3 linked regions of the Mus musculus genome follow. The protein of the gene in region 3 purifies or fractionates together with the protein of the main gene of each other region. This does not show direct contact. Links are inferred from orthologs where the notes say so. Each region holds a gene or a part of one and is shown on either strand. Other genes may lie near its edges.

The links.
Region 1: the proteins of Pop4 (region 3) and Rpp25 purify together in Homo sapiens (affinity purification with mass spectrometry; 3 studies listed by BioGRID and IntAct, counting the BioPlex papers as one, with this or other methods). This does not show direct contact. The link is inferred for Mus musculus from reciprocal best matches to the Homo sapiens genes POP4 and RPP25.
Region 2: the proteins of Pop4 (region 3) and Rpp38 purify together in Homo sapiens (affinity purification with mass spectrometry; 4 studies listed by BioGRID and IntAct, counting the BioPlex papers as one, with this or other methods). This does not show direct contact. The link is inferred for Mus musculus from reciprocal best matches to the Homo sapiens genes POP4 and RPP38.

What each region holds. Positions count from the first base shown.
Region 1 is NC_000075.6:57,499,817-57,510,081, reverse strand, and holds Rpp25 (ribonuclease P protein subunit p25), read right to left. Parts: upstream 5,981-10,265; 5' UTR 5,846-5,980; coding exon 5,246-5,845; 3' UTR 4,635-5,245; downstream 1-4,634. UniProt on the Homo sapiens protein: Component of ribonuclease P, a ribonucleoprotein complex that generates mature tRNA molecules by cleaving their 5'-ends. Also a component of the MRP ribonuclease complex, which cleaves pre-rRNA sequences.
Region 2 is NC_000068.7:3,327,202-3,338,094, reverse strand, and holds Rpp38 (ribonuclease P protein subunit p38), read left to right. Parts: upstream 1-5,466; 5' UTR 5,467-5,568; intron 5,569-5,596; exon of another isoform or gene 5,597-6,865; coding exon of another isoform or gene 6,866-6,967; intron 6,968-7,638; coding exon of another isoform or gene 7,639-7,736; intron 7,737-8,221; coding exon of another isoform or gene 8,222-8,231; coding exon 8,232-9,074; 3' UTR 9,075-9,146; downstream 9,147-10,893. Other genes in the region: Acbd7 (acyl-CoA-binding domain-containing protein 7), read right to left, coding at 1,874-1,885. UniProt on the Homo sapiens protein: Component of ribonuclease P, a ribonucleoprotein complex that generates mature tRNA molecules by cleaving their 5'-ends. Also a component of the MRP ribonuclease complex, which cleaves pre-rRNA sequences.
Region 3 is NC_000073.6:38,260,817-38,271,207, reverse strand, and holds the end of Pop4 (ribonuclease P protein subunit p29), read left to right. Parts: 5' UTR 1-54; coding exon 55-61; intron 62-2,253; coding exon 2,254-2,306; intron 2,307-2,548; exon of another isoform or gene 2,549-2,737; intron 2,738-3,612; coding exon 3,613-3,839; intron 3,840-5,003; coding exon 5,004-5,081; intron 5,082-5,246; coding exon 5,247-5,308; intron 5,309-6,778; coding exon 6,779-6,880; intron 6,881-7,898; coding exon 7,899-8,035; 3' UTR 8,036-8,388; downstream 8,389-10,391. UniProt on the Homo sapiens protein: Component of ribonuclease P, a ribonucleoprotein complex that generates mature tRNA molecules by cleaving their 5'-ends.

The sequences.
Region 1 (10,265 bases), on a different chromosome or scaffold from region 3:
GAGATGGGGAGGGAGGAGATACAGGAGGGACATGTGCCCGTCCGTTAGACACTGCTCAAGGGACAGCGGGGCCAGAGGATCAGTAAGGCAGAGATGGAGTCCTCATGAATGTGAGTCTACTGTAAGTTAACGCACTCATGAAAAGCCTGGGCAGCAAACCTGTTGGCTTGGGTGGTGTCTTAGTTAGGGTTTTACTGCTGTGAACAGACATCATGACCAAGGAAAGTTTTATAAAAAACAACATTTAATTGGGGCTGGCTTACAGGTTCAGAGGTTCAGCCCATTATCATCAAGGTGGGAACATGGCAGCATCCAGGCAGGCATGACACAGGCAAAGTTGAGAGTTCTACGTCTTCATCCAAAGGCTTCTAGTGGAAGACTGACTTCCAGGCAACTAGGGTGAGGATCTTATACCCACACCCACAGTGACACACCCATTCCAACAAGGCCACACCTTCAGATGGTGCCACTCCCTGGTCCAAGGATATACAAACCATCACATTCCACTCCCTGGTCCCCATAGACTTGTTCAAAAACATGAGTCTATGGGGGCCATACTTAAACATAGCATAATTCAAAATGCATTTAGTCCAACTTTCAAAGTCCTCATAGTCTATAGTAGTCGAAACAATGTTAAAAGTCCAAAGTTCAAGGTCTCTTCTGAGATTCATTCAACTTAATTAACTGTAACTCCCAAAGCAAGGCAGGAAACCAGCTGGGCAAACTCCAAACTCTGCATCTCCATGGCGGTCAAAGCGGTCTTCAGATATCCACTCCTTTTTCATCTTTGTTGACTGCAACAAACTGCTTTCTCCAGGGCTGGTTCCACTCCCTGTTAGCAGCTTTCCTCAGCATGTATTTCATGGCTCTGGCATCTTTATCATCTTTGAGTCTCCAAGGCAATTTCAATGTTACAGCTTCTTATTTCAGTGTCTGGGATTCCACTTGATCTTTTGGATTCCTCCTAAGGGCTGGCATCACTTCTCCATCTCTGCCCTCTGTAGCACTAGAGTTGAAACTAGCTCAGTTTGATCCACTCCACTACAGCTGCTGTTCTTGGTGATCATCCCATGGTACTGACATCTCCAATACACTGGGGTGTTCCACTCCAACCAGGCTTCACCAATAGCCTCTCATAGGCTCTCTTCATGGTGCCAAACATCAAATCCTTTGCCTGACCCCTTCAGTTCTGGGCCATCAACTACAGCTGAGGCTACACCTTCTCCAATGGCCTTCCATGACTTCTCAAAGTGCCAAGCCTCAGCTGTTCTTCATGACACCTTCATGCCTTCAAAACCAGTACCACCTGGGTGACTCTTACACATTACCAAGTCCAGCTGCAGCACGAGGTACAACCTTGGCTATCTCTGGAACACAGCTTCTTTGTGCTCCCAGAAAACAACTCCCAGATTTCAACTCAGTGATGCTGGTCTCTTCTTAATCATTGCTAATGTCTTAGCTTCAGCTAACCAGCATCAATTGTCCCAGTAGTTCCTTCCATTCTTAATTCTAGAGCCAGAGCCACATGGCTGAAGCTTCCCCAAGTTCTGCTGCTTACAGGAACTAGAACATGATCCCCTTGTACTATTACATTATCACTAGCTTATGTTTTCTAAATCCTTCACTGCCTAAGCTTGGCTATCCTGGTTCTTGCTCTGTAGATTGACCTTGAATGTAGAGATCAGCATGGGATTAAAGGTGTGTACCACCATGCCTGGATCTAAATTCAGCTGGGTAGGATCTTGCCCCAAGGTCCCACTCACTTAATCTGTTATTTCCTAGAACACAGGATTTTGCTCCATTTCACTTCCTTGTATGCCTTTAATACTCGAACCATATATTTTATATTTTGCCTTTCTAAGCTTGCTATACTTGTTCAAACTTCTCTTTGTGAGACTTAACCAGGGAACAAAGTCTTTGCTGGGCTTTTTTGAAACTTCCTTTGTCAATGCAATTAATGCAAGTTTCTTCGCCTTAGCCTCAGGCAGACTTTTCAGACAAGGGTAAAAAGTAGCCACATTCTTCACCAAAATACCACAAAAATAGTCTTTATGCCACATACTGAAATTCTTCTCCTTTGAAATCTCTTGGGCCAGGTCAACACAGTTCAAATTACTCCCAGCAACAAAGTCTTCCATATTCCTACTAGGATGACCCATCAAGCCCCATTTAAAGCATTCCACTGAGTTCCAAATCCAAAGTCCAAAAATCCACATTCTTTCAAATAAAAGCATGGTCAGGCCTATCACAGCAATACCCCATTTCTGGTACCAACTTCTGTCTTAGTTAGGGTTTTACTGCTGTGAACAGACACCATGACCAAGGCAAGTCTTATAAAAAACAACATTTAATTGGGGGTGGCTTACAGGTTCAGAGGTTCAGTCCATTATCATCAAGGTGGGAGCATGGCAGCATCCAGGCTGTCATGGCACAGGCAGAGTTGAGAATTCTACGTCTTCATCCAAAGGCTTCTAGTGGAAGACTGACTTCCAGGCAACTAGGGTGAGGATCTTATACCCACACCCATAGTGACACACCCATTCCAACCAGGTCACACCTATTCCAACAAGGCCACACCTTCAGATGGTGCCGCTCCCTGGTCCAAGGATATACAAACCATCACAGGTGGGGATACAGTAAAGAAAGCCATGTGTGGCTTGTTGTCTCTCAAGAGAGAAGGTTAGCATTGAAGCTACAGGAGGCATATCCTTTTTCCCCACCCTAGGACATATTTCTAGGCTGAAAGGAGACTTGCCTGGCCCATCAAAGGAGCCTCCATAGCCTTGCCTTCCCGAGATACCAAAGCAGGCTCTGCTTGCATAGTCCTAGAATCAGGGCAGTCATCTAGACAAGTCTCTAGCGTTCATGACTTCTAAATCTTTTTTTTTTTTTCAAGACAGGGTTTCTCTGTATAGCCCTGGCTGTCCTGGAACTCACTCTGTAGACCAGGTTGGCCTCAAACTCAGAAATCCGCCTGCCTCTGCCTCCTGAGTGCTGGGATTAAAGGTGTGCGCCACCACCGCTCAGCATGACTTCTAAATCTTATCTTCCCTTTAGTTTCAGAAGCCCAGTAGTCCAGGGTACCTTAGTTGTCTGGATAGTTTACTGTTTCCTAAGACACTTTGTCCAGGCTGGCCAGTGGTGACACTTTGTACACTCCTCCATGTGTAGCCAAGGATGATCTTTTTTTTTTTTTTTTAGATTTATTTTAGTTATATGTAAGTACACTGTAGCTATCTTCAGACACACCAGAAGAGGGCATCAGAGCCCATTGCAGATGGTTGTGAGCCACCATGTGGTTGCTGGGATTTGAACTCAGGACCTTACAAAGAGCAGTCAGTGCTCTTAACCGCCATCCCTCCAGCCTGATCTTTAATTTTTTGTATTCCTGTTTCCACCTCTAGATTCAGGTAGTACAGGGGTGCACCACCATGACAAATTTACATGGTGCTGGGAGTCAAAAAACAGACTTTATACATGCTGGGCAAATGCTCTCCCAGCCGAGTTACATCTTCAGTAACTTCAGTCTTCCATGCATCTTACTCCACATCAGGCCAACAAACACATCTAGATCCCCTGGCTCTCCCTAGGGATTCCTCAAGAACAAGAAATAGAGCTGGACAAATTACACACCTGTAATCGCAGCATTTGGGAGGCTAGGGCAGGAGGATCAGTTCTTGTCCAGCCTGCACTACATGGCAAGACCTCTCCTAAAAATAAATAATTAAGTCAGGAAGGTGGGGTGGGAGGTGAAAGGCAATGATCGACAGTCTGGATGACAAGAGTCAGTGATCCAAAACACAAGCAGAGATACTGGGAAGAGAGAAGAGGCTTCCCCAAGGCGCCCTCCATCAGCTGCAGAAACCCACGTCCTCGCCAGTAGGATTTATTTCAAGGTTCTACAGGCAAAGTGACTTACAAATTTATTCTCTCCCATCTCCTTTCCAGAGGTGCTGGGTTCCATGGGGTAGCATCTGCTCTGAAGATTCTGAGCTGTACGCTGCACAGCTCCCCAGCACACAGCACACCCCCGCCCCCTCCAGGCTTGGACTTGGGCTGAGAGGCATCTGAGGCTGTTATCTCTCCACACACAGCTGTGCAGGGCTGGAGGCAGCGGCTTATCAGGGAGCCCGCAGTGATTCACAGCCCAAGCTTCTCTGCTGAATAGTAATTTCCAGCAGTGGATTTGTGCTGTCTCTCTCCTCCCCCTCTCCCAAGGGTGTGCTGTCCTTTTGCAGAGAGAGGGCAGTGAAGGGGAGCTCCTACTCTTGGGGCTTTGTGCCTGCCTCTGGGTAAGAATGTCTACTGCGAGGAGCGAGCAAGGTTAGAACCTTAGCATGGTCTGCCGGCCTTGGCAGGCTGCCGCCTCCAGCTCATCAATGCTCCCCCCTCCTTCCCCTCCCAGAGAAGTAGCAAAACTGCTTCCTTTCCCTTGTGGTGATACAACAGTGACACAGACCCCGGCCCCCTCCACCACAAGTCCCTCTTTCAACATTTTGACACTGCCCCAGTCTCTGTGTCTGACCTTGAAGACTCCAAAGGCTAATAGGGTTGAAGGCAAGCATGCCAAAGTGGTCTCTGCACAGGCGAGTGGGTAAGGAAAAAGAAAAAAAGAACAAAACTGAAGACAGAGCCATTTTCACGTTTGTTTTATTGGAAGCAAGACTCCAGCAGGACTCGGGGAGGAAGCATGGCAGATTTTGTCCTAAGTCCCCTCTCAGCCATCATGCAAGGCGGGTGGGGGAGGGATGCTAAAAGGGAATTGCTAGGGTGTGTGTGTGTGTGGGGGTGCAGAATAGGGTCCGGACATTTTCAACTTGGCCATCCTCAAGTAATCAGCTCCGTAGCTCCCGCTCTCAGTTAACAGCAAAGATGATTTTTAAAGCCTCAACTGTCAGCATCCATGCATACTGGGTGCTTTTAACGTCTGGGTCCCCAAGAAAGCTCAAGAGTCCCACTACCCACCATGCTTCCCTAAAAAAGACGGCCTAGCAAAGGTGTGGGTGGTGTTCTGTGGCTTCTGGTAACATGTCCCACAAAGTTTCCTTGGACTTCAAGGATCCTCTCTTCTCATTCCTGAGCTCTCTCCTGTCGCCTTGGGATCCGCGCTGTCATTCTGAGGACCGGTGTCCAGGAACATGGGCCCCTTAAAACCCAGGTATGAAAGGTGCGTGTGTTGAAAGGTATGCAGGAGTGTTGAAGATATATGATTCAGTCGGTCTGGGTGGCTCAGAGGCGAGAATTCTCAGGCGGTCCTGTCCTCATTCTCAGCCTCTGGCTCAGGCTGAGACCGCTTAGCGGTGCCTTCTTCAGCAGCAGATTCCCCCAGGCTCCTCTTGGACGTCGACACCGTAGGAGGGGACGAAGGACCAGGACTGAGGTTCGGAGGCTGGTAGCCAAGTTGTCGTGGATCCAGTGCGTCCTTTGAAAGTAGGATGGCGAGGCTCGGTACATTCTTAAGTACACTGAGACTGGCGGCCGGATCGCTGGGCGTCTGACCCGGTGTGGGCCCAGGCGGGAGGCTCTGCCACACCTCGCGCACGCTCCGGTAGCGCAGCCGCGTGACCTGGTGTAAGCCCGCCAGGCGGCGCTTGAGAATCTCGGCGCACGTGACGGTCTTGGTGGTGGCCCGGCCGCAGCCACTGAAGACGATGGCGCGCGTGGCTGGCTGCGCCATGCTGGCGGTGGCGAAGGCCAGTAGGTTGCGGATCTTGCTGCCCTCCTTGACCCGCATGTGTACAGCACCGGGTGCCAGATCTGCAAAAGGGCCAGAGTTCGGGCTGCCACCCTCATCACCGTCCCCCGCCGGCGCCTCCTCCGAGCGCACCTTACGGAAGTTCTCCATGCGCCGTCGTCGCTGGGATCGCAGGTTTTGCCATGGGGCCGCCTCAAGCCCGGGGCTGCATGGCCGCGGGTCGTGCCGGGCGAGAGCTGGCAGGGATTGGGGTGCCGGCGCCGAGTGAAGGTTGGAGGGTGGGCTGGGAACGTGCAGTCTTCAGCCCAGACTTCTACAGGGTAGTGATGTTCTACTCTGCGCCCTCGGCACCTTGTGCTCCGCGCCTTTAGCAGAAGCTCCGCCTGGGAGCCAGATAGGACCCGCCCCTTCGCCCAGGACCCGCCCCAACTCTGCGTGACTTGTCCCAGTCCCTCCAGCCTTTGGGATCCAGCGCTGGAGCTCAGCGGCTGGGGTCACAGAGCCACGGGTGATTTGGGAGGTGAAGTTCTCCGAAGTCACCATCTGTTCTCCCTGAACCAGACCTTATGCAGGAACAACCTAAATAAATACTATGCTTAAGGTTCAAATGCCGACTCAAGCCTGGTCCCTGAGCCCTGCGGGGTTCCAGCGCAAGGGCATCCCTAGACCCCTCCTAGGTAAGAGATCTCCAAACCACCTTTTGGGGCTTCGCTACTCCACCCCTCCAGGGACCTCCCTCCCGTTCTCTTACTATATTTTTGCGTCAAGGGCAGCCAGTGCATGGTCAGCAGAGAGTGGGAGGCGTTGGCTGCGGCTGCACGCAGCGCCTTCCCTGGGCTGGGACCGCTACGTCGTGGCCTGGTCCTTGCGTAGCTGCTTAGAGAGACACTAAGCTTTGCTCCTCCTGATCATACCTCCAGGCTCCCGGCACCTATGCACCTCTGAAATGCAGGAAGTGATGCGTTGGGCCAGCCTAAAGTGAATGGGGAACAGGAGACCATTTCTTCCAAGGCGTTAAATTCTTATATTCATGCCTGAAAGTCCTTTACTGGAGCTGCATACATGTTTATGAGCGTGGCTCAGCCCGAGCTAACGCCGGATTCCTGACTTCCAATTCCAGGTGGAATTCCTTGCCAGTCAGCCTTGGCCTCTAGAAATCCAGAGGGTTGTTTTTGTTAAAAGGAGACTGAGAGAAGACAGGTTTTAAGAGGTGGGAGGCAGGGTGGAGTGCCTTGGCGGAATGTGTGTGTGTGGGGGCGGGTACTTGCAAACTCTGGGAACTCCACTGAATCTGAGCAGAGGCTCGGGCTCTGCTGCGAGGTGAGGTGGGCAGTAGAAAGATGAGGTCTGATCAAAGCAAGACTGTTTAATAAGGAGTGACCCTGGCCTGGGGCCACGCCCTCAATATTCAATCCCGTTTCCATGGAAAGGCAGGGAGGGAATCAGACAGACGTGGGAAGCACCGGGAAGGAAGACGCACTGAGGACTGTAAGGAACGGTGTTCTCAAAGTATCAGCAAGATGGTGTTTGGATGAGCACAGCATCAGTCTAGGGGGAGAGCTGCCCGGCCCTCCTCTTCCTCTTTGCTATCTGTGACAATTCTCAGCCCCTCAGCTCAGAACAACGAGCTTATATCTCATCTCTTCTTGGAGTGTGGCTGCAGCAGCTGGACTTTTTATTTTTTATTTTTACCTCAAGTGTGAGTGACTGGCTCCAATCTCCTGCTCACACTCCAGGAGTGTGCCCCGAACTGGGACTCTGCCCTGGATCTAATCTTAATTCTTGTAGATTTCACAGGGAGAAGCAGGCTCTGGAGTCCCAACCTTGGGGAGACCCCACGACTGAGTGCACTCAGGCAAGTGGTGGACTTAAAGTCGGCAGTTTTGGATTGATCTGAGAAAAAGTTCCAGAAAGACTAGAAGCTATGTAGGAATGTGCTGGTTGGAAAAGAAGAGAGCTCTGCGTTCCCTGGAGTATGCAAGCCTGGGTTAAACAACTTGGAAATCATGTAGGCCGTACACTACAATTTGGAAGATCTGGGGGCAGCAGGTTTGTTCTGAAAAGAGTGAATGGTTGTGCCTCTACCCAAGTTGGCCCTCAAGGACACCGCCACCCTCTCCCAGTACCACTACCCTCTGCCAGAGACTCTCCCATTCACTTTATTTTCCTGTGGAGGGAGAACGCAGAAAAGGCCCGGTTCCCCGCCCGCGCATCGCTTCCTTTCCAGCTCCCTCAGCAGCACTTAAAATGTAAATGCACATCGTGATTAGCCGCGGGGTCGCTAATTACAGCTGAAGCCATTCATTACGCTGTCAGCTCTCTCCATCGCCTGCCGGCTGTGCAAGTGGGGAGGTGATGGGGGAAAAGGATGTGGGGACAGCTCGATGCTGGCAGCCTGAAAGCCCAGAACTGGCAGAGAGGCGGTGAGCCGAAGAAACCGGTTGGACCGTGAAGAAGCCGTGGTGTCAGAGAGGGGAGAAAGGCGGGAGGCTGGAAGGAAGGAGATTAAGTGAGGAGGATGAAGAGGAAGGGTATATGAGAAGCGATACCAGGATGGGAAGAAGGCCAGAGGAGGAATCGTGCGAGATAGGTAGGAACCTTCCAAAAGGGGACAGAGGACAGCGGGAGGAGGAAGAAGGTCCAACGTGGGGAAAGTGGGTAAACAAAGGTACTATCTTTGCTGCACACAACATCACGGTTAGAAAGGCAACCAGGACGTATGCTGAAAAAGCTGGTTGCCCGCCAAACCCTGCGGATACGTTTGCATATGTAAATGTATTTTTAAATACTTACAAGAAAACGGCACACTGGCATCTGTTACCTCTGTAGCCACATTCAGATTTTGTTGCTCTCTTTAAAGGCAAGGATAACAGAATACGGATAGGAAATTAAGTAAGCGTAAAGTCTTGGAGGAGCCTGTGTAATTGAGGTACTGACCCGGCAGTCCAGGCTTCATTAGCCTCTTTCTGCTTCTTGTGACCTTGGACAATTGACTTAACCCTTGTGCCCTGGTTTGTCACCTGTAAAAGGAGGGTAATTATAGTAACCTGCTCACTGTGCCCCTGAGTTCCTGGGACACAGTAGCTGTTATTTCTTTTCTTATGTTGTGATTAAAATAAAAATTTAAGATTGCAAAAGGAGGGGTGAGAGGTGAGAGGATCAGAAGTTCAAGGTCTTCCTTAGCAGCATAGCAACATACCTCTCCTAGGCTACGTGAGTCATCAGATTTAAAGAAAAAAAAAAAAGAGTAAAGATTGATGAGAGGAAACAAAGCTGGGGTGTGTTTGACGTCGAGAGAGACAGAGGTGGGGAGAGCCTTAGATGCAGCAGTTTACAGAGAACCGGCCTGTGCTCTGCAAAGGCTCTTACCAGCAGCCCCCTGGAGCAGGAAGGAAAGGAGACACTTAACCTATTGAAGCAGAGGCAGGTAGATCTCTGTGAGTTCAAGCCAGCTTGACTGGCCAGCCAGGGCTAGCCAGGGCTAACCAGTGAAACCCTATCTTCAGAAAAAAAAAAGAAGAAAATGAATATTTATTTTAAGAAAAGGTCTTATTTTTGAAGTCCTCACTGGCCTGAAACTCAAAATCCTCCTGTTAGCCTCCAGATCGATGGCTGCAATCACCAGAATATGCTGTCCATACCTCCTGAAGCTCTTCTTCCATGTGTAAATGCGTGTGCAGGATTTGACTCTCTCTTCCTGCTATGTGGATCGAACTCTTACAGATCAACAGGCTTGCTGGCAAGCCCTTTACCCATGGAGCCATTGCTTGGCTCCCGCCCCCCCATCCCCCAAGACTTAAATGACTTGAGCCACCCAGGAAAGGTATGGGTTGAGAACCACCTGTGGTAGTTCATGCCTGTAATTCTGGAGAGAAGGCCAGAGGACCGGCAGTGGGGAGGCCAGGCTTGGAAATCTGGGGTACATCAGACCCAGTCTCAAAACAAGCAAGAGTGGGTGATGGAAAGATGGCTCGGTAAAGAGCACTTGATGCTCTTCCGGAAGATTTGAGTTTGGTTCCCAGCATCCGTGTCAAGAGGCTCATACTACCTGTGACACTAGCTTCAGAGGATCTAAAGCCTCTTTGAACACTTACATGCATGCATGTGTGCACGCGCACGCGCACACACACACACACACACACATGTAATTAAAAATAAAATAATTTTTTTGAGACAGGATCTTTTTATGTAATTCTGGCTGTCCTGGAACTCTCTATGTAGATCAGGCTGGTCTTAATTCATAGAGGCCTCTGCCTCTGCTTCCTGAAGGCTAGGATTAAAGGCACATATCCTACACCCAGTTAATTTTTTCTTTTTTAAAGAAAGATATGGGTTGTCTTTGTGGAGAGAGAAGGTTTTCATGGTGAAGGAAATGGACTGGCTATCTGCTATTGCATAAAGCGGTTGCCCCCAGTTTAACAGCTTAAAACCATCAGCATTTCAGATTCTGAAAGTCATAAGTCCAAGTCCAGATTGAAAGGATTAAACCTCTTTACTCGGGTTCTCCCCAGAGGCTGCAGTCAGGGTGTGGACCAGGTGGAGCACCAGCTCCTAAGCTTATCTCCTGTGT
Region 2 (10,893 bases), on a different chromosome or scaffold from region 3:
GAGGTGTGTGAGTGTGTATGTCAGTGTGCATGAGTCTGTGTGAGCTTGTGTGAGTACTCATGAGTCTGTGTGAGCATGTGTGAGTACTCATGAGTCTGTGTGAGCATGTGTGAGTACCCATGAGTCTGTGTGAAGATGTGTGTGTCAGTGTGTGTGAGTCTGTGTATGTATGTGTGTGAGCATGAGTGTGTGTGAGGGTGTGTCAGTGTGCATGAGTCTGTGTGTGTATGTGTGTGAGCATGAGTTTGTGTGAGGGTGTGTGTGTGTGAGCAATGAGTGTGTGTCTGAGAGAGCGTGGGTGTGTTAGGATTTGCATATGTTGCCTTGTCTATCCTGGAACATCACACTTAAATGATCACCCTACGTTTCTATTGAACCCAGGGACTCCCGAATGCTAGGTAACCTGCAGACTGATCCACACATGCCTCATCCCTTCTCTTAATGGGTTTCTAACCTGCCTTTATCTTTCTCTTCTGCTTGAAGTACTTTGTGGTTTTCCGAAACAGGGTCTCATGTAGCACACTGCTTTGAGTCTGCCACCTAGCTAAGGATGGCCTAGGACTCCTGATTCTCCTGTCTCCGAGTCCTGAGTGCTGGGATGACAGGTGTGTACTGTCACTCCTGACTTGAACTAACACTCCCACATCTAGAATATAATGCATGTTTTGTTATATTACTACATTGGTAAGAATTTCAAATTGAAATAATACACATATGTTTTAAGAACTTTTCATTTGTAACAATTTATTCTTTAAGCATAAACAAAGTGACTTAAACTTTCAGTGACTGCAATTCCAGTTTTCTTTGATCATACTGATGCTGATATCTAGCAAGTATATATTTTTTAAAACTAGAATCTTATTTTATCGAAATGAAAGAACATTTTCATTACAGCAATAATAGATTTAATACATTCAACACTGATAGTAATAGAAACCCACACCCTGTATCAATTTTAATTATTGAACTAAGGCTAGCCTTCAATGCTGCCCTATTGTCAGGGTGGCATTCATATGCCTTAGCTCATTGTCCCTTCGTGATATTCTTTAACTTTTAAATCCTAAAGATTCCCTTCTCCAATGCTGCTTTAAATGCTGCCCATGGAGGTAGCTCATTTAACTGCCTCTCTCCTCTTTTATTTGCTCTATGTTTATTACGGCATATATGCGGGTGCACATGTACCATGGCATGCATTTGGAGGTCAGGGAACAATTGCAAGGGACACTTCTCTCTCTCTACCATGTGCATTCTGAAGGTTCTGATCTCCAGGCTTGCCAGCAGATAGAACTCGTGCGCGCGCACACCTTTCATTATACACACATAGAAAGAGGGCATTTATATATAAAAGCAACCTATATGTGTTTATCTGAGAAAAGGGCTTCCTGGTTTTTAATTCCTATTTATTCTCTTTTCACTCTTATCAATAAAACAGTAAAGTCAGAGCTTTATAATCTAGCCCTGTTATTCAACAAAACACATCTATGAAAATCTCCCGAGGTCCCCAAGAGCAAGGGGATGTGGAGACCCCAATGGATGTCACTTGCTTCCTGGAGTTGTTAAGAGAGAGAGGTGAAGAAGCCCCCGCCCCCAGGAGCTTGTCAATTCTTCAGATCTGGGTAATTTTCCCAGAGGGCCAAACAGGTTGCTATAGAGATCCTGGGTCCTTGTCAACAGATGGTGAAGTACAATATATTGTGAAATATACTGCCCCACACTGCTTAGGCAGGTGTGGGAGTCACTGCAGGGTCGCAGCAGCAGAAGGCTCCTGGGGGTTACCTGCCCCTGTCCTGTCCCAGGGCTACCACACCTCCTCTCGCCCCATCAGAGCGCTTCGGATAATTGCTTTGGCATGGCCTTCCCAGATCTGGCTTACCTGCAAGGACATAATGATGAGACACGGAATGCTGTGACTCTCCCAGCTCAGAGTGAGAGTCCCCGGGGAGCGGGCTCCGCTGCTTAAAGAGCAGTGCTCCTCCTCCGGTCTCTCCTATTGGTTGCTCTCTGGGCATGGAGGACTAATTGGCCACAGGAGCGGGAGGGAGTGTCTGGGAGGTAACTCAGCCCAGTGTCTCGGAGCTCATTTAATCTCCTCTCTCTTCTTTTACTAAGGCGAACTTGCAGGTGCACGCATGCCTCCGCTGCCTCTCCTCAGTTGAGACTGTGGCTGTTTCCTTCCCTTTTCCTTGCCTCTCCATTCTACCTCTGGGTGTAGCGGTGTTAACTATAGCACTGTATGTGCTGAAGTTCTTCAGAGTTGTTCCTTAACCCAGAGAGAATACACATAACACCTGTCACCTGACCTCAGGGATGGCCGATAGCGTCTCTCGGGAATTCGAGACATGGTGTTGGTTTTGTGCTTACATGACTATACACAAATGTTCTGAACCTTACCAGGCGCCTTTTCTCCTTACTGATCTGATCTATGGAAGGGTGGCACTGCTACCCACTGTTGCCTGGGGTGGCCCGAGTGCTCAAGACACCTCCCATTCATATTGCTGCCCTGGACACAGATGTGGCTATAGACACTCCAATGGCACAGACTCGAAGCCTGTGCTTTGACTTGGTATCTCGTTACTAAAGTCCATTCCCAGTTAAGTGACTTTTAAATGTTGGACTGATTGTAGACATGCAGGAAAGGCCATAATGAAGTGGATATTTTGGACAATTACTATACACTAATTAAAAAACTAAAAATAATCGTTATTAACAGTATGTTTGTAGACTCCACAAAACCACAATAGCATACAATGCTGGGCAAAGCTCAGAATTCCATGCAAGCAAGAAGAATCTAGTGTTCAATTCTTGAACATTTTGTTGACAGACTGTATTGTCAGCTCTAATGCTACGATTTCTGACTCAGACTCTTAAGCTAATGTTATATTGTTGTATCCTTTAAATCCAGCAGTTCAAGAATTAAGACAAAAAGAATACTTTCATAAACCTTCTAAGTTATTAAAATATTTTGAGATATTTATAAAATTAACTATGATCATAAATGGTACATTTATAAACTGTTTATTCACAAACATAACTTATTTACAATGTAAAATAAAAGCTATCATTGAAAAGTAAATTGACCATTTAGTGTATATATAGACTACCAAATGCATAGTAATTTAGGGAACTATGGGAAGCATATATTTGTTAAAAAAAAAAACCTGAACATAAACTGATTAAACATAATCATAAACATAAATTGATGTAAATAAAAATAAAATAAATAAATAAATAATAAAATAAAAATAATAAAATAAAAATAATAAAATAAAAATTAAAAACTGAATTGATGTAAAATAAGAGCTATAATTGAAAAGTAAATTGACCATTTGGTTTGGTGTGTGTGTGTATATATATATATATATATATATATATATATACATACATATACACATATACTACTTAGGAAACTACAGGAAGCATATGTTTGCAGAAAAAAATATGAACATAAACTAAAGTTGTGCTACACAAATGGAAAGAAATTACCTTTGAGATATATTCTTTTGGGTAAAATCCTTGTGGAAAGATTGCTAAATTCTCAAATAGAAAACAAGGCCCAAAATAGTAGCGGCTATATATAATTTGTATTAACTTAATTCTGCCACAGCTGTCACTGGGTCATAGTGGTTCCATTTGTCAGACATGTACCATGTGGCAGGCACTGTGGTAAGCATCTTACACAGAATATTCTTCTAATCCTCAGAATAGGCACTATTTTTATCATTTCATAGTTGGCTAATTAACTTGCCTGAGGTGTAGGGACACTAGTTAGTGGGAAGGCTAGGGTGTCAACATAGCAGCCTGGCGGCAGAGGCTTGTAATGTAAGAGCTGGAACTTTGGTGGGACAACACTCATAGCCATTACCTTTTTACTTCTTTATCTTGCCCCTCTTTCTGCCTTTTTTTATTTTTATTTATTTATTTATTTATTTATTTATTTATTTTTCTGTTATGGTGTGTGCAAGTTCTGGCCCCGAAGGCCCAGTCTGCAGCCTCCTGTCTCAGTCTTCCACGAGCCAGGATTTTATGTGAACCTTTAGTATTTCAATTCTACCATCGCGATTTGTCTTTAGCGCTACATGACTGCGGGTAATAGTAAAGGACGTCTTATATGGCACAGTCAAAACTCGACCGAACTTAATCTAGTTCATCTACTTGTGATAGAAACCACAGCACGCTTTTCCTGTAAAAACTTCAACAATCTTTGACCACAAGCAACAGTGTTTGTTCTGTTTAAATGTTCAATAGGTGGTGAATAATGGAAACGTAGAAGCTAGATCCTATATGTTAGTCTAAAATGAGCAATGAAAACACCGAGAAAAAAGAGGAAGATAAAGAGAAGGACCTGAATCCTCCCAAATTCATAAGAACAGAAAGTAATTCCTGTCAAGTAATTTTTATTTATTTATTTATTTATTTATTTATTTATTTATTTAATGTATGTGAGTACATTGTTGCTGTCTTCAGACACACCAGAAGAGGGCATTGGATCCCATTACAGATGGTTGTGAGCTGGGACTTGAACTCAGGACCTCTGAAAGAGCAGTCAGTGCTCTTACCCGCTGAGCCATCTCTCCTGCCTTTTTTTTTTGTTTGTTTTGTTTTGTTTTTTGTTTTTTTGAGACAGGGTTTCTCTGTATAGTCCTGGATGTCCTGGAACTCACTTTGTAGACCAGGCTGGCCTCGAACTCAGAAATCCGCCTGCCTCCCGAGTACTGGGATTAAAGGCGTGCGTAATTTTTAATCTTTAGTACATTATTCCACTGCTTACCAGTTGTAACTTTCCAGTGATTTTGTTTCATAACCTTTCTTATTTTTTGTCTCCGTTTGTCAGAAGGCACAACAGCTATTGCCGGAGTACTCTGGAGTACTGCTGTGGAACTAAATGCAGCCCCTATTTTCCTTTCAGTGTGCCCAAGATTCTACACATAATCTCTAAGTACATGCAACCCTATAACCCCTATTTATTTGATTTTCGTGGCAGAACACGAGCTCCGCCTACCTGCCTCTGCATTACGTCACTCCCAGTCAGGGGCGTCAGGCGTGGTGTGTGGACTAAACCTGGCACAGCACTGCGCAGGCGTGTATTCTGTCTCGCGAGAGTCTGTGGTTGCTGTAGTAACCAGCCTCTCCCAGGGACGCGTGCAGGGGAATGGGTGGCTATAAGGGCTGGAGTTTTGTATCCCCAGAACAAAAAGAGACAGCAAGGCAGAAGCAACTGGGCTAAAAATGGAGAGCCAAAAGGAGAGACGAACCTCTCACAGAACCGAGCTGTTCCGCATCGTCATTTTGGACGACCAGTCAGAAGGGAGAGGCTGGTTACTACAGCAACCACAGACTCTCGCGAGACAGAATACACGCCTGCGCAGTGCTGTGCCAGGTTTAGTCCACACACCACGCCTGACGTCCCTGACTGGGAGTGACGTAATGCAGAGGCAGGTAGGCGGAGCTCGTGTTCTGCGCACGCTCAGTGCAGGCGCACGTGGAGCGGGCGCAGTGGTTCCTGGTAGTGACCGAGTTGCTGTAGTGAAGCGATCCGTCACGTGGTCTCCGCGGGGCGCTTCTGCTCAGGTGGGCGCGTGCGTGCCTGTGGCTCGAGTCCCGGCCCGTGGGCACCCGGGTCACCGCGGGGTGGGGGTCATCCAGAGCCCGCTCTCCCTGAGGTTCTTTCCGGCTGGTCTCAGCCGATCCCTGCCTTCGGGGGTTTCCTTCCGTCGTGTTGTGTGATGCGGGTACCCCTTCGTCCTCCCGAGACCGCGGGAGCTTCTCTGCTGCTGACAGCCTTTCTAGGGTCTCTTCCCAAATCAAGGTCTCTGTGACGCGATTCTAATCGCGCCGCCCTTCTTGAAAGGCTCTAGAGTCACCATCTTGTCCTTACCCAGTATCTTCAACTCCAGCATCTCTGTTCGGGCGATACTGAACTTTAATGTTCTTCTGTAATCCCTCACTGCCCGCTTCCTTCTTGGGCTATCTAAAGAATTCCTTCAAAGGAGGAATATTTTAGATTGCGGTTGGTTAATGGTCGTTTTCTCCAGAGACTTCAACTAAGGCCTGTTCCTCAAGATAACCTCACTACTCTGGCTTTAGAGTGAGCCGTTTTTATTACTCGCAGAAGCTTTTTGCTTTGCCCAATGCCTAATGGCCTGCAACAGCAAGGATAATTCATAATAATTTGATAGAAAAAAATGTATGTAAGTGCTCTACCAGGCACAGTGTACGTTGAATAAGGACATGAGAAACCAGAGGCCTCATTAAATAGCCAGAATCTGTAATATGGGTGATGAGTGAAAGGAGAAATGCTTGAGAAATGGGAGTAAACATTTTGAGTTTGTAATTGGTCCTGTAGGCAGTAGCAGCTTGCAGACATAGTTGGCAAGGTACTTGATCAAGCTCTGTGAACCTGTTAATATTCAGCATTTTAAAAATTAGTATTGCATGGCGGTCATCTTATGTAGGCTTGGTTCTTTTTTTCATCTCCCCTTCCAGGTTTTTGTGAATCAGAGACATACATCCCAATCTTGCAATCCCTTGGTTGCAGAGCATCTGTGAGTGTCCCCCATGCTAGGCAGGGACAGTAGCTGACTTGCAGTTTGGCAAGCGTTGTGGTGGGACCATTTGTCCCTTGCTTCCTGGTCATTTTACTCAAAGCTAGCTACCAGCTGCTGGTCACCTCGATAGATTTGGACGACCTGTTCTTGAATCTCTTAGCTTGTGAGGAGCATGCAGCTCATGGGGATTGATGGAAGCAGTTATTATGGAAGCAGCTATAGCCAGTGTCTGTAGCAGTGGGCAGCACTGACAGAATCAAGATTGCAGCTCTTACTGGGAGTGAGTGCAACACCATCTCCAAAGGCCGTGCAGTCTGGAGATGCCACCTGCCTCACATCAACATCTCCAAATGTTGGGCAGCTTTTTACCAGCACCTGTGGCACAGTTGACTCCCAGAAATTCCAGCTCAGTAAGCTCTAGGGTGAGTCAGCCATCTGATGGTTCTTAAAAACCACAGGTTATTTCTAAGATAGATCCATGATTAAAAGAAGTCTTTAGAAAAACTAGCTGTGAGTTGTACAGTGAGTCTGCTTCCTAATCCATGCCAGGGAACTCTGTAAGTTTGTTAGGAACAAGATGCGTGGAGAAAGTGCCCTGAATTAGAGGAACCTTAAGCAGGGGGGACTTATTTGAAGTTTGTCAACTGGGTCTTCATAGTTCTCAGATGAACTCTAAGAAGGAGACAACTGAGAGCAGAGGTATACAGTTGCCTTTGGGAAGGATAAACAGGGTTTAAATGAATGAATGCCCGACAAGAGAGCAGTTAACGTCCTAACTTGTCTGTAAGGTTAATTATTATAGGAAGAACAAATAACAGTGTTTTGTTTCGGATTTGCTTTTGGAAGGAGCGCAGCCCATTTACTTCTCCCTAATGGATTAATCTCTGAATTTCATATTTTTTTTATTTTTCATGAAATTGCCCGCCAAAGCAGTCATCTTATAATCATGTGAGAGGGAAAATATGGGCCTGCATGTTTCAAATGTTTTAGGGACTTGGGAATCATGAGAGGAGGGAGACTTAAAGTTTTAGCCATGGACAGATTACTACGGTTTTGCTTCTTAAAATCTGACCTGGTTCATTATGAACTTCAGAGACTACAGAAGGTTAAGCTCTGTGTGGGCAGACACAGGGGCTTCAGAGCCCACCAGCATCTGTGTCTGGAACACCATCTGCCCACTGCAGTAACTCAGTAAGTATGCTTATAAATGAATGAATGAGGGGTTGGCAAGATGTTTCAGAGGGAAGAGGCATTTACTACCAAGCCTGTGACTTGAGTTCATTCCCTTGAGACTCACATGGAGAAAACCATTTTAATAGAGCTGTCCTCTGACCACATGTGCTATGACCCCAAACCTAATAAATGTCTTTAACATTTTTAAAATAAATGAGTGGAATTCCAATTAGAGTTTGGAAGATGCTCACAAATCTGTAAGATTAACACCAGTCACTCTCACATTGCCTGTTGAGCATCATGAAAAAATAGGGAGAATTAAGTCTTCCTTGTGCCACAGAAATTCTCTGACTGGTTATCTAGTTGGGCCCATATAATTAGACTTGCTGTAGCATATCAGCCTGGAATAAAAAACAAAACAACAGAGACTGGAGACTATAACCAAAATGTTCTCAAGACATGCATTGCTGACAGGAGTTTCATCATTTTGTTTCTTTCCAAAGGGTTTTCAAGATGGCTGCAGCCCCTCAGGCACCAAAGAGGGGATCTATTCGGAAGACTAGACCTCTGGTTGTAAAAACATCACTAAACAACCCTTATGTTATTTCCTGGAGCACCTTGGAGAGAGAAGACATACACTTTATATTACAGACTCTCGAAGCCAAGTTTAAATTGATTGGACTTCAGAAAATTGAAGATAAGAAGAAAAGGAAAAAAACAGCTCTTATGAAAAAGCAAAGTTGCCGGCCAGATATTGAGATTAGCGAGGATCCAAAAGAGCCTGATGGGGATGTGCTGGTGTCAGGGTGGACACCTGTACACGTCAGGAAACAGCTGGTCATTGGTGTTAATGAAGTCACCAGAGCTCTGGAGAGGAATGAACTGCTCCTGGTTCTAGTGTGTAAGTCAGTCAAGCCTGCCATCATCACCTCACACCTGATTCAGCTGAGTCTAAGCAGAACTGTTCCTGCCTGTCAGGTACCTCAGCTCAGCGAGAGAATTGCTCCTGTCATTGGCTTAAAATGTGTGCTAGCCTTGGGTTTCAGAAAGAACACCAGGGACTTTGCTGATGAAGTAGAAGCCATCATTCCCAGGGTGCCCAGCTTAAACGTGCCATGGCTTCCAGACAGAACCCAAGGTCCCACAGACAGTTTAGAGACTGAACCCTCGGAAAGCCAGGACAACGAGATTTTGGACACGTCATTTGATGACCTTACAAAACTTAGTAAGAGGAAGCTTGCTGAAGGTGGACAAGCTTCAGCTGCAACATTACAACCCCTTAAAATAAAAAAGCTCATTCCCAACCCTAGTAAGATAAGAAAACCACCCAAAAGTAAAAAGTCCATTTCCAAGTAGTTTTGTATGACTTGTCACTATGTCTAATGTCTAAATGAGCACTGAAAGAAATAAAATCAAAACTTACATATATTCTTAGGATCCTGCATGGAGGTGCTTTTCTCTTTGGGTGGGGCAGATGAAGTACAGAAAACACTCAAAACAATGATTAACAAAACCAAAGTTTATTAAGACTAATGTCCATGCGCATATAAATTCACTGCTTTAAAGGCTGGTACAATGCTTGCTTGCAAGAACATCAGTTTCCTACAGCACTTAACATTTCTCTACCGAACTTGGAAAATGGGCCACAGACATGGTCTAGCAAGGTGGGTGAAGCAACTGAAGAAAGTCCTCAGTTGCAACGGAGAGAGAGAGAGACACTAAATGTTAAGCAGTACACTGCCTTCAGAGCGGCATGTCATTTTTACTTTGTGGTAATTTGGCTTTCTTTGTAGGTAAGCATCAAGGCAGGCTTGGGAGAAAGGCTTAATTGATACAGAACAAAAGCCTGATAAGGTTGTTTCATAAGAATTCTCTCCCTGCGCATCATCAGTTTCCTTGTAATATATAACATCTATCAAGAGTACATTAGGGGCAGAGCTCTATGGCAGAATATGTGCTTACCAGCACATACTATCCCTGGCTTGATCCCCAGCACCAAAAACAAACAAAAATCAAAGCTAACAACTCTAAAAACAAAACCTAAGCCAGAACTTATTACAGCAGTACTTAGCTGACATGTGGCACGAGGACAGACAAGACAGTGATGGGTCTTTCTGGCTGGGAGTGGAGCTGTCAGGACTTTACTAATCCACTCTGTCTGGAAGTCATTGTGGAATTTAGGAGGTGAGTGGGATAGCAAAACTTTTTCATCCCAAGTTTTGGATGAACTTATGGACTGTACCACTTTGTTCCACTTGCTGACAAATTTCCTGTTTCTGAAGGGAAGAAACCTTACAGCACAATATGGATACAGAGAGCATAGGGCAGTGTAACTTGAGATTGTTGCTTTTACATTTGGTTTTAACAGTTATTTTATATCCAAGCAGTTGCTCTGGCTACTAATTCTCTAAAATACCAACTGCTCATGTGCTTAACTTATGAAGACATCACCGTTAACTATTAGTGTATTTAAAGTTCTATAACAACTGCAATGTGCAATAAACAAATCTCTAAAGGAATGGTTTTAACAGTTTCCTCATGAGGTAAATAATAAATAAGCCCATGACAAAATTCTAACCTGAAAATTCAATTTGTATAAGACATAAAAATGAGTGCAATAATTGCCAAAGAGCTGTAGATCCAGATTGACTGACTCACTCACCTACTGCTTGACTTTCCACACAGTGCTGTAATGAATAGGTAGTTTCATTTCCTGAAGGTGTTCTGTTAGAAATGTGACAGTTGGACATGTATAATGAGAAATCTGTCCTGTGTCCAGCACTGGTCCCACTTCTGCACCACTTGTGGGGCCCAGGTGCCCCCTCTCGTGGTAATATCAGGAATGGCACAATTTGTGGCCTATTTAGGACCTGTCCACAAGAGGCCAGAGAGCAAACATTTTAACTTTGCAGGCAATACATACAGTCCAGTCTGTCACAACTACTTGATTTCCCTTTGTAGCATGAGACAACCATAGTTAGGACATAATGAAGATATGTCTGTATTCTGATAAAATGTTTGGATTTCCTAAGATTTGCATGCTACAAAACGTCAATTCTTTGGACTATTTCCCCCAACGATTTAAAAAAAAAAAAAAAAAAAAAAAAAAGACCATTCTCAGTTTGTGAGCTGTATAGAACAGCCAACAGGTGAGACAGCCTACAGTCACATTTGG
Region 3 (10,391 bases):
AATGAGTGAGGCCTGAAGGAGACATCGCCAGAGAGCTCCGGAAGCTGGCCGACAATGAAGGGTAAGTGGGATGAGGGACGCGGAGCGGGGCCGGGGTGGGAATATAGAACCTCGGAACTAGAAGTTGGCTTGGGAAATGAATCAGGGATACCTGTCTCAACAGAGTCCTAAGGCAACTTCCAGGGAATTACCTTAGTACACAAAAGAAATGGAGGCCCGGAGTCTGAATCCGCCGTCTCAGTCTCTTAGCTAGGAATAAATGTCAGGATCGAGTTTGTGTGCTCTCCTCAGGGGCCTCTCGGGGGAACTAGAAGAGATGGGTCCAAGTTCTTGACCGGACCTAGCTACTACCTTCCCGTATAACTTCTGTCAAGGACCTGCACCCCTCTGCCACCTGGTTTTCACCCTTGCCCCTGTAAAAAGCTGCTGAGGGGCAGTATCGTACACCTAAGGCTTTGGAATTTGAGCCGAAAAGAGCTGTGCCCAGAAGGGCAGCCAAGCACTGGGGCAGTACTAGAGGAGAGAGGTAAAGATATTGCCTCTGATTTGGTGATTCATGCCCTTTTTGTCTGAGAACAAGTTTCTTAGCGTGTCTCAGCTACCACTTTATTATGTGCATAACAAAGAAGAGCTACTGTTAAAAATTGCTTAGAAAGATTAATGACATTAAGATAATATATATGCACACTCACTCAACCAACCGCTTGACAAGCTGTGAGTGTCCCACACCTACTGCATGTTGCAGAAAGACTTTCAACTTTGATGCGAGGCATCTGGGGTAAATAAAACAAAGTTCTTCCTGGGATTCCAGCCCCTGCATGTTTATCACAATAAAGTTCAATCTTGATCCATTGTTCAAGAGAGAGCTAGATTCTGTATATAAAACTTGTGGTACCTTGGTTTGTTTGCTTGGGTCAAGCATATACTCAGGGAGACAGAGATGGATTGTTTGTTTGTTTGTTTGTTTCTTATTGTTGCTGTTGGGATAAAGTCAGCTATGTACTCCTGACTAGCCTGGAGCTCACCGTGTGAACCAGCTCGGCCTCTACCTCTCAAGTAATGGGATGGATCAACCATGTGTGCCGCCACACCCAGCTCAGAAGTGCAGTGTATAGGGTGTAGTGTGAACTGCACTTTCTGGTCATGGGCCCTTCCTTTTCCCATTTACTCCTGTAGTCTCTGCCCCAGTGCCACCATGATGATTGCCTCCAAACAAATAAGAAACAGGATTGTGGAGGTTTAAAGAGGTTTCATCATCATGAAGATAGTATGTAGAGTTTGGAAAAAGACTATTGTATTTTATCTGGTCAGGATACATTATAGATTTTAAAGTGTGAAAAATCTGTTTTAAGCCTCTCTTAGTAGTCAGCAAAATGTAGTGTTTCAACCATATACAGCCTACCCGTTAATATCTCCTCTCTTTTAGTGTCTAGACTTACTAGACTTACTGGGCCACTGCCCAAGTATAATTATACCTCCTGGGTGTTTAAAATCAGATCAACTCTAAATGTGACCCAGCGAGGAATTTTTTTGGACATGCTGAGTCTGGAGTAGGAACCAAAACCCTCCGTTTTAATAAGATCCCAGCGATTCTTTAAGCCTTGAGGAGTTCTTATTTTGTTTTGTTTTTTTTGTTTGTTTGTTTTGTTTTGTTTTTTGTTTTTTTCGAGACAGGGTTTTCTCTGTATAGCTCTGGCTGTCCTGGAACTCACTTTGTAGACCAGGCTGGCCTCGAACTCAGAAATCCTCCTGCCTCTGCCTCCCAAGTGCTGGGATTAAAGGTGTGCGCCACCACGCCCGGCTTGAGGAGTACTTTTTTAAAAAAACTACATCTTGGGAATTTCTAGGACAAAGTTGGCAAGAGGGAAGAGTAAGAAGTATCTATGGTGGTTCATGTGTATAATCCCAGCAACTAGCACCTGGGAGCCTAAAACAGGATGTGGGTTGGAAGCTAGCCTAGGATACAAAGCAAGACCTTATCTTAAAATGAAGGAGTAACACATAAGAGGGCTGGGGTCTGTATCCACAGTGAAGCACTTGCCTAGCATACATTACACTCCCCTGGCGTTAGTCCCCCAGCACTGCAGAGTAAAGCAAAAGGGATCAACCAAGAACGTTTTTCTTTTTTCTACTAACCCAGTCTTCCTTCTCTGAATAAGTGTACTTCTTAGCATAGTTAGAAAAGCCCCGGCTAGTATTCTCATTCCTAACAGGAATAATCATCTCTCCATATGTTTGTCTTTCCTCCCCCAGCTGCCATCTACCATGCCTTTTCTCATAAAGAAGCCAAGGACCACGATGTGCAGGTACAGTCTTCAGGGGTGGGCGGCCAGCAGTCGAGGTGATGGCAAAGCTGGCTCAGTATCTTCTAAGACTGGCTTAGCTGTCCTTTCCCATGGATTCCTCCTTGACTTTACACTCTGAATATCAGGCCCCATAGACATCTTTTGTGCTGATGTCTTCATGAGCCAGACTCTGTTCTTAGGGCACCAGAGTCAGCTCTGAGGGACTTGGACTCCTTGATTTCCCGTCATCTCCCACTCTGCAGGAAATGGCAGCCTGTGCCCACCTGAAGCCAGTCTTGCTCTTGCTTCTGTATCCTGGTCAGTGCTCAGCCCATTTCCTAAGTGGATGTTACAAGTTCTGTCTGGATGTTTCATGGTGCTTTGTCATTTGGGCAACAGCTTCACCTGTGGCTCCTAAAGAGAACATAGCCTTGAAGTCAAGATTTTAAAAGGCCAGTTAACCTTTAATTTTTAATTCCCAGTGAAAGAGAGACCACATGTATATTTAAAAGAACCAAACTGTCGTCATATCAATGATGGATTGTTTAGCCATCCCTACCTTCAAGTACCTTGAAGGTTGTGTATTCTGTATTTTCACTCCCTTGCTTTACCATAGAGAGGGTAGAAGTCAGCATTCATACGTTAACCTAAAGCTGGCAGTTAGCCCAGACTTGGCCTTACTGTGCAGTTAGTGCAAAAAAGAGCCCAGCCAATGGCCCGGGGAAGAGGTTGGTCCTCAGGTAACAGGGTTTCAGGTGATGAAGGCCAAGTGAGGTACCTGTTGCCCAGTGAGGAATAGACTGTTGCTGCCCTAACTCCAGAGGAAAAGCGATTAAAGAGGACTGTGAAGCTCACTGTCAGAATGCCCCCTCAAAGGACGTGACTTTCCTGGAAACCACAGGCAGTTTCCCCTAGTGCTAGACTGGCTCGTTTTCCTAAGAACCCCAGCTCCCTTCCCCTTTAAGCTGGCCTTGTAGTCATGACTGATTAACCTCTATCATCCATGTCTCAAACTTCCTTCCCCACAAGGATTAGAGAAGTACTAAATTACAAAAAGTTTTGAATCCTCAGTAGAGGATCCTCAAGAAGCAGGACAGGAAGTCATTGTTTGACCTGGCTGCAGTGTGGGACACTGTCACAATTAGTGTATGAGTGTTTCTTTTACATCTTGGCAGTTGTGCGTAGCAAACACTTGGCAAGAGATTTGTGAGCCTCAGTGGATAGAGAGATGGATCAGCAAAGATAGTGGCTTTCTGGAACAGGGTATGAGGGCCCTGGGGTCTGTGGGCACAAGAACCGTGAACAACACCACTATGTCTCCGAGCAGGAGCTGGGAAGCCAGCGGGCTGAGGCCTTTGTGCGGGCCTTCCTGAAGCAGAGCATACCTCACATGAGCCAAGAAGACTGTGAGAGCCATCTGCAGCGCAAGGCCGTGATCTTGGAATATTTCACTCGCCTAAAGCCAAGGCCAAGGCCAAAGAAGAAATCCAAAGGCCTCTCTGCCAAACAGAGGAGAGACATGCGGCTCTTTGACATTAAACCAGAGCAACAGAGGTATGCCCATCTTTCCTAATGGTCTTACCATCCAACCTTGCCTTGTCATCTTTGTCAGGGTTCAAGGACTGGGGGGGGGGGGGGCCTCACTGGACATCCCTACATACTCATGCTCAGGTACTTCTTGCCACAAGAGGGCAGCCTCCCCCTTCCAATTTCCTTGTGCCTGTGCTTGGCCTCTGAGGGGCAGGCATTGGTGAGACTGAGGGTTCTCATCACTTAGCTTCTGTCCTAGCCTCACTAATAATAAGTGAGTCTGTTTTCCATGGCAACAGGCTGTTTGCTTTCAGCTTTCTAGAAAAGAGGAACTGATATGCCTTAATGTGTACTTTCCTGTAGCTTTGAACATAACTAGACAGTATCACCCACTCAGAGGTTACTGCCAAGGAACGGTCCCACCTACTCATTTCAGACATTTCTGAAAGGAATACATCACTGTCTTGTGGGAGGATGTCTTTCTTGATATAGTTCTGAGTTTGTGTTTGCAGTTACTGTTTACTGGCTTTGTATAATGCACTTTAGCCACATATCTTTCTATGTCCCAGATGGCATGACAGTGTCACTTTGCCAAGGATCTGCCTCTCTGGGTTCCTTGAAGGAAGTGCTTGTTTCTGATTTGAGCCATTGTTCTTGACTGCCTAACCCTGTGCACCAAGACATATGATAATCACCCCAGAGGAAAGCTTCCGGGCTCTACTCTCGCCTTCTACACAGTCCTGTCACCTTACAGAAGGGATTGCTCCTCCCAAGGACTATTAAGTTTAACCTCCTGGAAGTGTGGGCTAAGAAGACTAATGTTCCTTTGCTCATTTGTCTTGGGAAAAGGAATGTGGATGAACAGCACCTGGGTCATTATGGCTGATGGTGCATCGCCACCTTCAGCTGGGGGTCTGAGCCAGGGGCTCCACCATCGTATGTCTGGCCAGGAGGGTGGGCATCTAGGTGAAGGACCACCTTTTTGAGAGCAGATATTTAGCCTTGAAGAGGTTCTACCAGGGAAGAAATTGAGTTCGAGTAGCAGGTTGGGGAGTTACTTGGCACTTTGGAGAGCCTTGGCCTCCCACACAGTCTCCGGTGCTCCCTTACGCTCATCCTCAGCCTGGAGCCCAGCTCTGTGTGCTGCGCGCTGTAAACGCCGAGCTCATGCTTCTGGCTTCTTTACAGATACAGCCTGTTCCTCCCTCTCCATGAACTCTGGAAACAGTACATCCGGGACCTGTGCAATGGGCTCAAGCCGGACACGTGAGTTTTAGTTCTGAAGCCGTGGAAGCCATGGGAGCAGATGCCAAGCCTGGAGAGCATTAGAGATGCTCTGAGAAACCAGCAGGCTGTGGGGTTGTGTTTGTGTTTGCAGTTACTGTTACTGGCTTGTTACCGACTCTTCTCTGTGGGCTCTTCACCTCCTAGGCAGCCACAGATGATTCAGGCCAAGCTCCTAAAGGCAGATCTTCATGGTGCTATTATTTCAGGTAATTTCTATGAATGCATATAGTCATCTGGAGATTGTTACTCAGTGTAAGTGAAGTGTGTGTCACAGCATTCAGCCTGTCATCTGTCACTTGGCATCCCTGAACTATCTCCAAGTCACAAGCAGTGAGGATCTGAGATAGTTGTGATCTAACCCATCCTGGTTCCTTGTTAAACACACACTAAGTGCTCTCTTGGTGCCATCTGCTCACACTGTTGGAATCGAGGCTCTAGCCGATTCTCTTGGGCCCAGATTCCCTCCCATCATGGTTTCCAAGGGGTCACCGCCAGTGCAGACTTTTCCCACGACTCCTTCACCCCATGACACCCAAAGCTGCCTGGATGGACATCCAAGAGCTACCTCAGATTAGCTATCCAACACCAAGCCGTTGGTCCCCTGAGGTCAGCTGTCTCTGATCTGCTTGCCTCATCTCCTAGAATAGCACAGCTTGTCCAGGCTAGAAACTAGGAAGTACATACAAATTACCTCTTTCCCCAATCCTCTACCTCAAGGACATTAACACACCTAGCTCCCAAATCTGACCCACTCCCTCAAGGTGCTGCGACTACTTTCTCTGGCCTCCCCACACCCTGCCCAGGTCACATACTGTTTTATTCCCACATACACTACAAGGTTAAATACCCAGAATGAAGGCTGCAGTCAGACTTCAGACTGCTGTTTACGTTACCCGTTCTAGGCCTCTAGCAGCTTCGGTGTCCTTTGGCCACTTTGTAGCTTGCACACCAGTTGTCTTTGCTTGAGTCCTTCATTCAACCAAGGGGTTCTGCATATGCATGTACCTCGGTCCCCTTTCCTGATGTCACTTCTGAGAGTCTACTAGCACTAAAGTTTCTTCTTCCACCCCCATTCTGTTCTTATTTTCCTTGTAGCCATTATCAGTATCAAGAATTAGAATTGCCCGTGTTTTACTATACATTGTCCTCTACCACAGCTTCAGCTCCACAGGAGCAGAATACAAACCATCTCATTCAGTGTCCTGCCCCAGCACCCTCCTAGCTCACTGGGCACATAGTTTCTTCTGTGAATGCTGACTACACGGAAGCGGAAAGGGGCCTGCCTATGAGGTGGCTCATGCCATTGCTAGGCAACTCTATAGAAGGACTACATTCCAGACAAAGTTCAGGAGACCCAAAAGTAAATGATAGATGCCCTGCCCATGGTGTTTGCTCCAACAGCAGTACACTGGACTTGTTGGTTCTGTGTATTACCTCTCGGCTCCAGAACCCTGCCCAAAACTAAAGGACACCCAAGAATAGCCAAGAGATCATGAAGCACAGGACAAGGGGCTAGGAAGCCTGGGCTCTTGCTAGCTGGGTCACTGCCCAAGAGCCACTATCTTCTGAGCACTTTCTTCCTCAGCTTAGAAAAGCCCATCTTCCTGTCTCTGAGGCTTGGCAATGACTGCCAGCACCACCCAGTCCTTACAGTCAGTTGCCTTTCTCCTTTGCAGTCACGAAATCCAAGTGCCCCTCCTATGTGGGAGTTACAGGAATCCTTCTGCAGGAGACCAAACATGTCTTTAAGATCATCACCAGAGAAGACCACCTAAAAGGTGAGTGCTGTGTCCCCAGGGTATCAGATGCCACTATATCTCCCTTCCAGGTTTGCTTTCCTGTGGAGTCAAACAGGTTGCAAGTGCTTACTATGATGTGAGTGAGGTCGCTGCCTATGTGGCTCTCCCAGGAGACATCTATGAACACAGCCTGCAGCCTGTCCATGAACAGGACAGAAGAACTGCTTGGTTGTTTCTTGGATCTCTACCTACCAAAGTCACCACCTCTCAAATGAGTAACTAAAAGAAAGGCAGGAGAAACCAAAGCAACCTATACCTGGAGTTCTGAGAACTGCACCCTAGTTCTCTTGAGTTTTAGCAAGTTCCAGCAGGTACTCTGGATCTTTTGGGGTCTCTGTACCTGACCTTACCCACATATCCAGAGATTCAAACAACAGATGGAGGGTTTGTACTCATTCCTTTATCTGTTGATTCTGGAAATTAAACCCAGGACCTCTGTCTACTAATCCTGCGCTCTGCCCCTGGCTTACCCCCAGAGCCCTGCTTCATTGTTTTTCCATGATGTTCTGCTTGCACTGTAAGTCTAAGGAAGTGGTATAGAAGTTTCCTCATGAGCACACATCTAAGAACCTGTGCAAAATTGTATGGAAAACCCTACCTGGTGGTGGGCCTGGGAGCCTTCGGTCGTGGGAGTTGAGTCATTCACCCCAGAACCTGTAATTAGGCATTGAGTTACATTTAGACTGAGTCAAATGGCCCATGTCTCCCTTGGTATTTCTGGCTTGATCTCCTCATTCCTATAGACTTTTTTTAGACATTCTCACTATCTAGCCTTGGCTAGCTTGGAACGTGCTATGTAGACCAGGCTGCCCTTGAACTCAGAAATCTGCCTGCTGCCTGGCTTTGTCTCCTAGGTGCTCGTATTAAAGTGTGTGCCACCACACCTGTCCAACTCACTTGAATACAAGTATGTATGAATAATGCTCCACACAAAAATGAATGCACTCCCCATGTTGCTTCTCATCCTTTTTTCCCCCTCTTTTTTTTTTCCCTTCAGTCATCCCCAAGCTGAATTGTGTGTTCACCATAGAAATTGATGACTTCATTTCCTACATTTATGGAAGCAAATTCCAGCTTCGGGCAAGTGAGCGGTCTGCCAAGAAGTTCAAAGCAAAGGGATCAATTGACCTGTGAACTCTGCCACTGGAGACAGATGTCCCTGACACTGAAGAACTGGAAACTCCCTAAATACTCACTTTTTCTTGAAGAGCCTCTGGCTGTAGCCCGTCTGTAGTCCAGGGAAAACAGAGGGGCTGAAGAGCATCGAACAACTCGGGAGAAAGCTAGGGGTAAATATTTGTACTGTTAGGTGACCTTAAGTTAGCTTTAGTTCCACAGGGAGGAAAGACTAGCAGAAACACACCAGGATTAACCTTGGGTCATCTGAAGAAGGGGGCATTTAGGCTCTGCCTTTCCTACTTCTCTGTGTATCCTGAACATTCTAACAAAATCAGCTATTGAAATAATAATAAAACCAGACCACGGGCATAAATGGCTTCAAATTCCTGTACTTCTGCTGGGTTGAAAGGAAGGGGGGGTTGTGGCTCCCTCACCCCATGGCCACCTCCCGTCTCCGATTGCTTTCACGGTATGAAACATCAGATCTGACTGGAAGTCATCTCAGCTCCAAACCCTGAGCTGCCTACACTTTGCTGCTCTCACACACAGGCGTCGTGAGCTTGCTAGATGGCTCAGATTTGGCTACAGTAGTCAGAATGGGGCAGAGGGCCAGATCTGCCAGTACCATTGGAACTGGGCCAGCACTCCAGGCTGGTATCATGAAAGCCTTGTAGTTGAAACCTGGTTCACAGGAATCACTTGCCCCTTGCTTGTAAGAAGCAAATGTCTGCCAGCCAACTCAGAAATTCTCCTGGCAACACATGTAACCACTCACAGGGAGGCGGTGGTGCTGGTGGGGTCACTTCCTGGATGGCTCCGACTCAGATCACACTGAGTGGAAGAGAAATGAGTAAGGCTAACATTCTTCATATGACAGAAAAATAGAATGCTTACTCCCAGAACCACCTACAGTGGTTTGAATAAGTATGGCCCCATGTAGACTCGTGTGTGAATGCTTGACCCATAGGGAGTGCCACTCTTAAGGAACTCTGGCCTTGTTGGAGGAGATGTGACACTGGAGAGGTGGGCTTTGAAGTCTCAGGTATGTGATCAAGCTTTGCATGGTCTGGAATGCAGTCTCCTCCAGGCTGCCTCCAGATCAAAATGTCCAACTCTCAGCTTCTCCAGCACCATGACTGTTTAAATGGTGCTGTGCTTCCCACAATGATAACAGACTAAACCTCTGAAACTCTAAGCCAGCCTCCAATTAAATGTTTTCCTTTATTAGAATGGTAAATCTTCACAGCAATGGGAATTCTAACTAACCAGCACCCCCAAGTACCACAGTCTGGACCTGTTCTACCACTCTCTGGACCCCAGTTCTATCTACATCATCAAGACATTCCTCATGGCACTCCCCAGACCCACCTGACCCCTGTTTCCCTGGTGGAGGGCACACATGGGCTCTCACCCTGAAAGTGAGCATTACTCAGGTCTCATTGACTTTACCCAAGGAAAGCTGAGATCTGAACCAGAAAGGCTGGCTCAGGGACATGGGCTTCCCAGCAGGATACCCACAAGAATGTGAAAGACTAGAATCAAGTATGTATATGTTCCTTACAAGGAACACCATCTTCTGTGTCCAGTGACTACTGTTGTACCTGAGTGAAACCGCATGTGTGCTATAACATCGAGCAGAACTATTCATCCACACCCTCTGAGATGAAAAAGGCACACTATGTTGCATAGTTATGTCCCAGAAAACTTGCTGGGGCCAGCCCCAACTCAAGTTTCCATTGACTAGCTAAGGATGTTCTCAGGGAAGACAATGTGATGCTCCCCTGTCACACTGTCTCTGCGCTTTTTGCCTTGTCTAGGATGTGCTACTGTTGTATCACTAACCTCCCCCAGGGGACCAAGGTCCACAACATCTTCCCAAGCACTACTGATGAAGTTGCACATGAGACTACATAGAGTATGGCTAGCCAAATCCTTACAGTTCAGAGCTTCATGGAGGGTGGTATGGTACTTGTCACTTGTGACTCTGTCTCCAAGGAACAGGACTATGGTAGAAACAATAACGAGCTCTGTTGAATGTAAACCATGCACTATAGAAACATGGGTGCCAGGGAGGGTCTGATAGAAACCAATGGGAAGAGCAGTTGGCACCTCAAAAAGGGCTCACTGCTGTCAAAGTTAGTTTCTGCTAACACCTCCTGACTGGTCAGCAGCCACCTCTCACTCTTCATATGGTCTATCCTCAAGAAAGGGACGCTCTAGTATATCTAAATGATACTGGTCCGTCGAATTAACATCTTGCCCTATGAGCAATTTGTCTCTTAAAGATCCTATCTCCAAACATAGTCATACTGGAGGTTAGGACTTCAACATAGGAATTTGAGGAGTCTTAGTGCACAGTACAATAACAGCT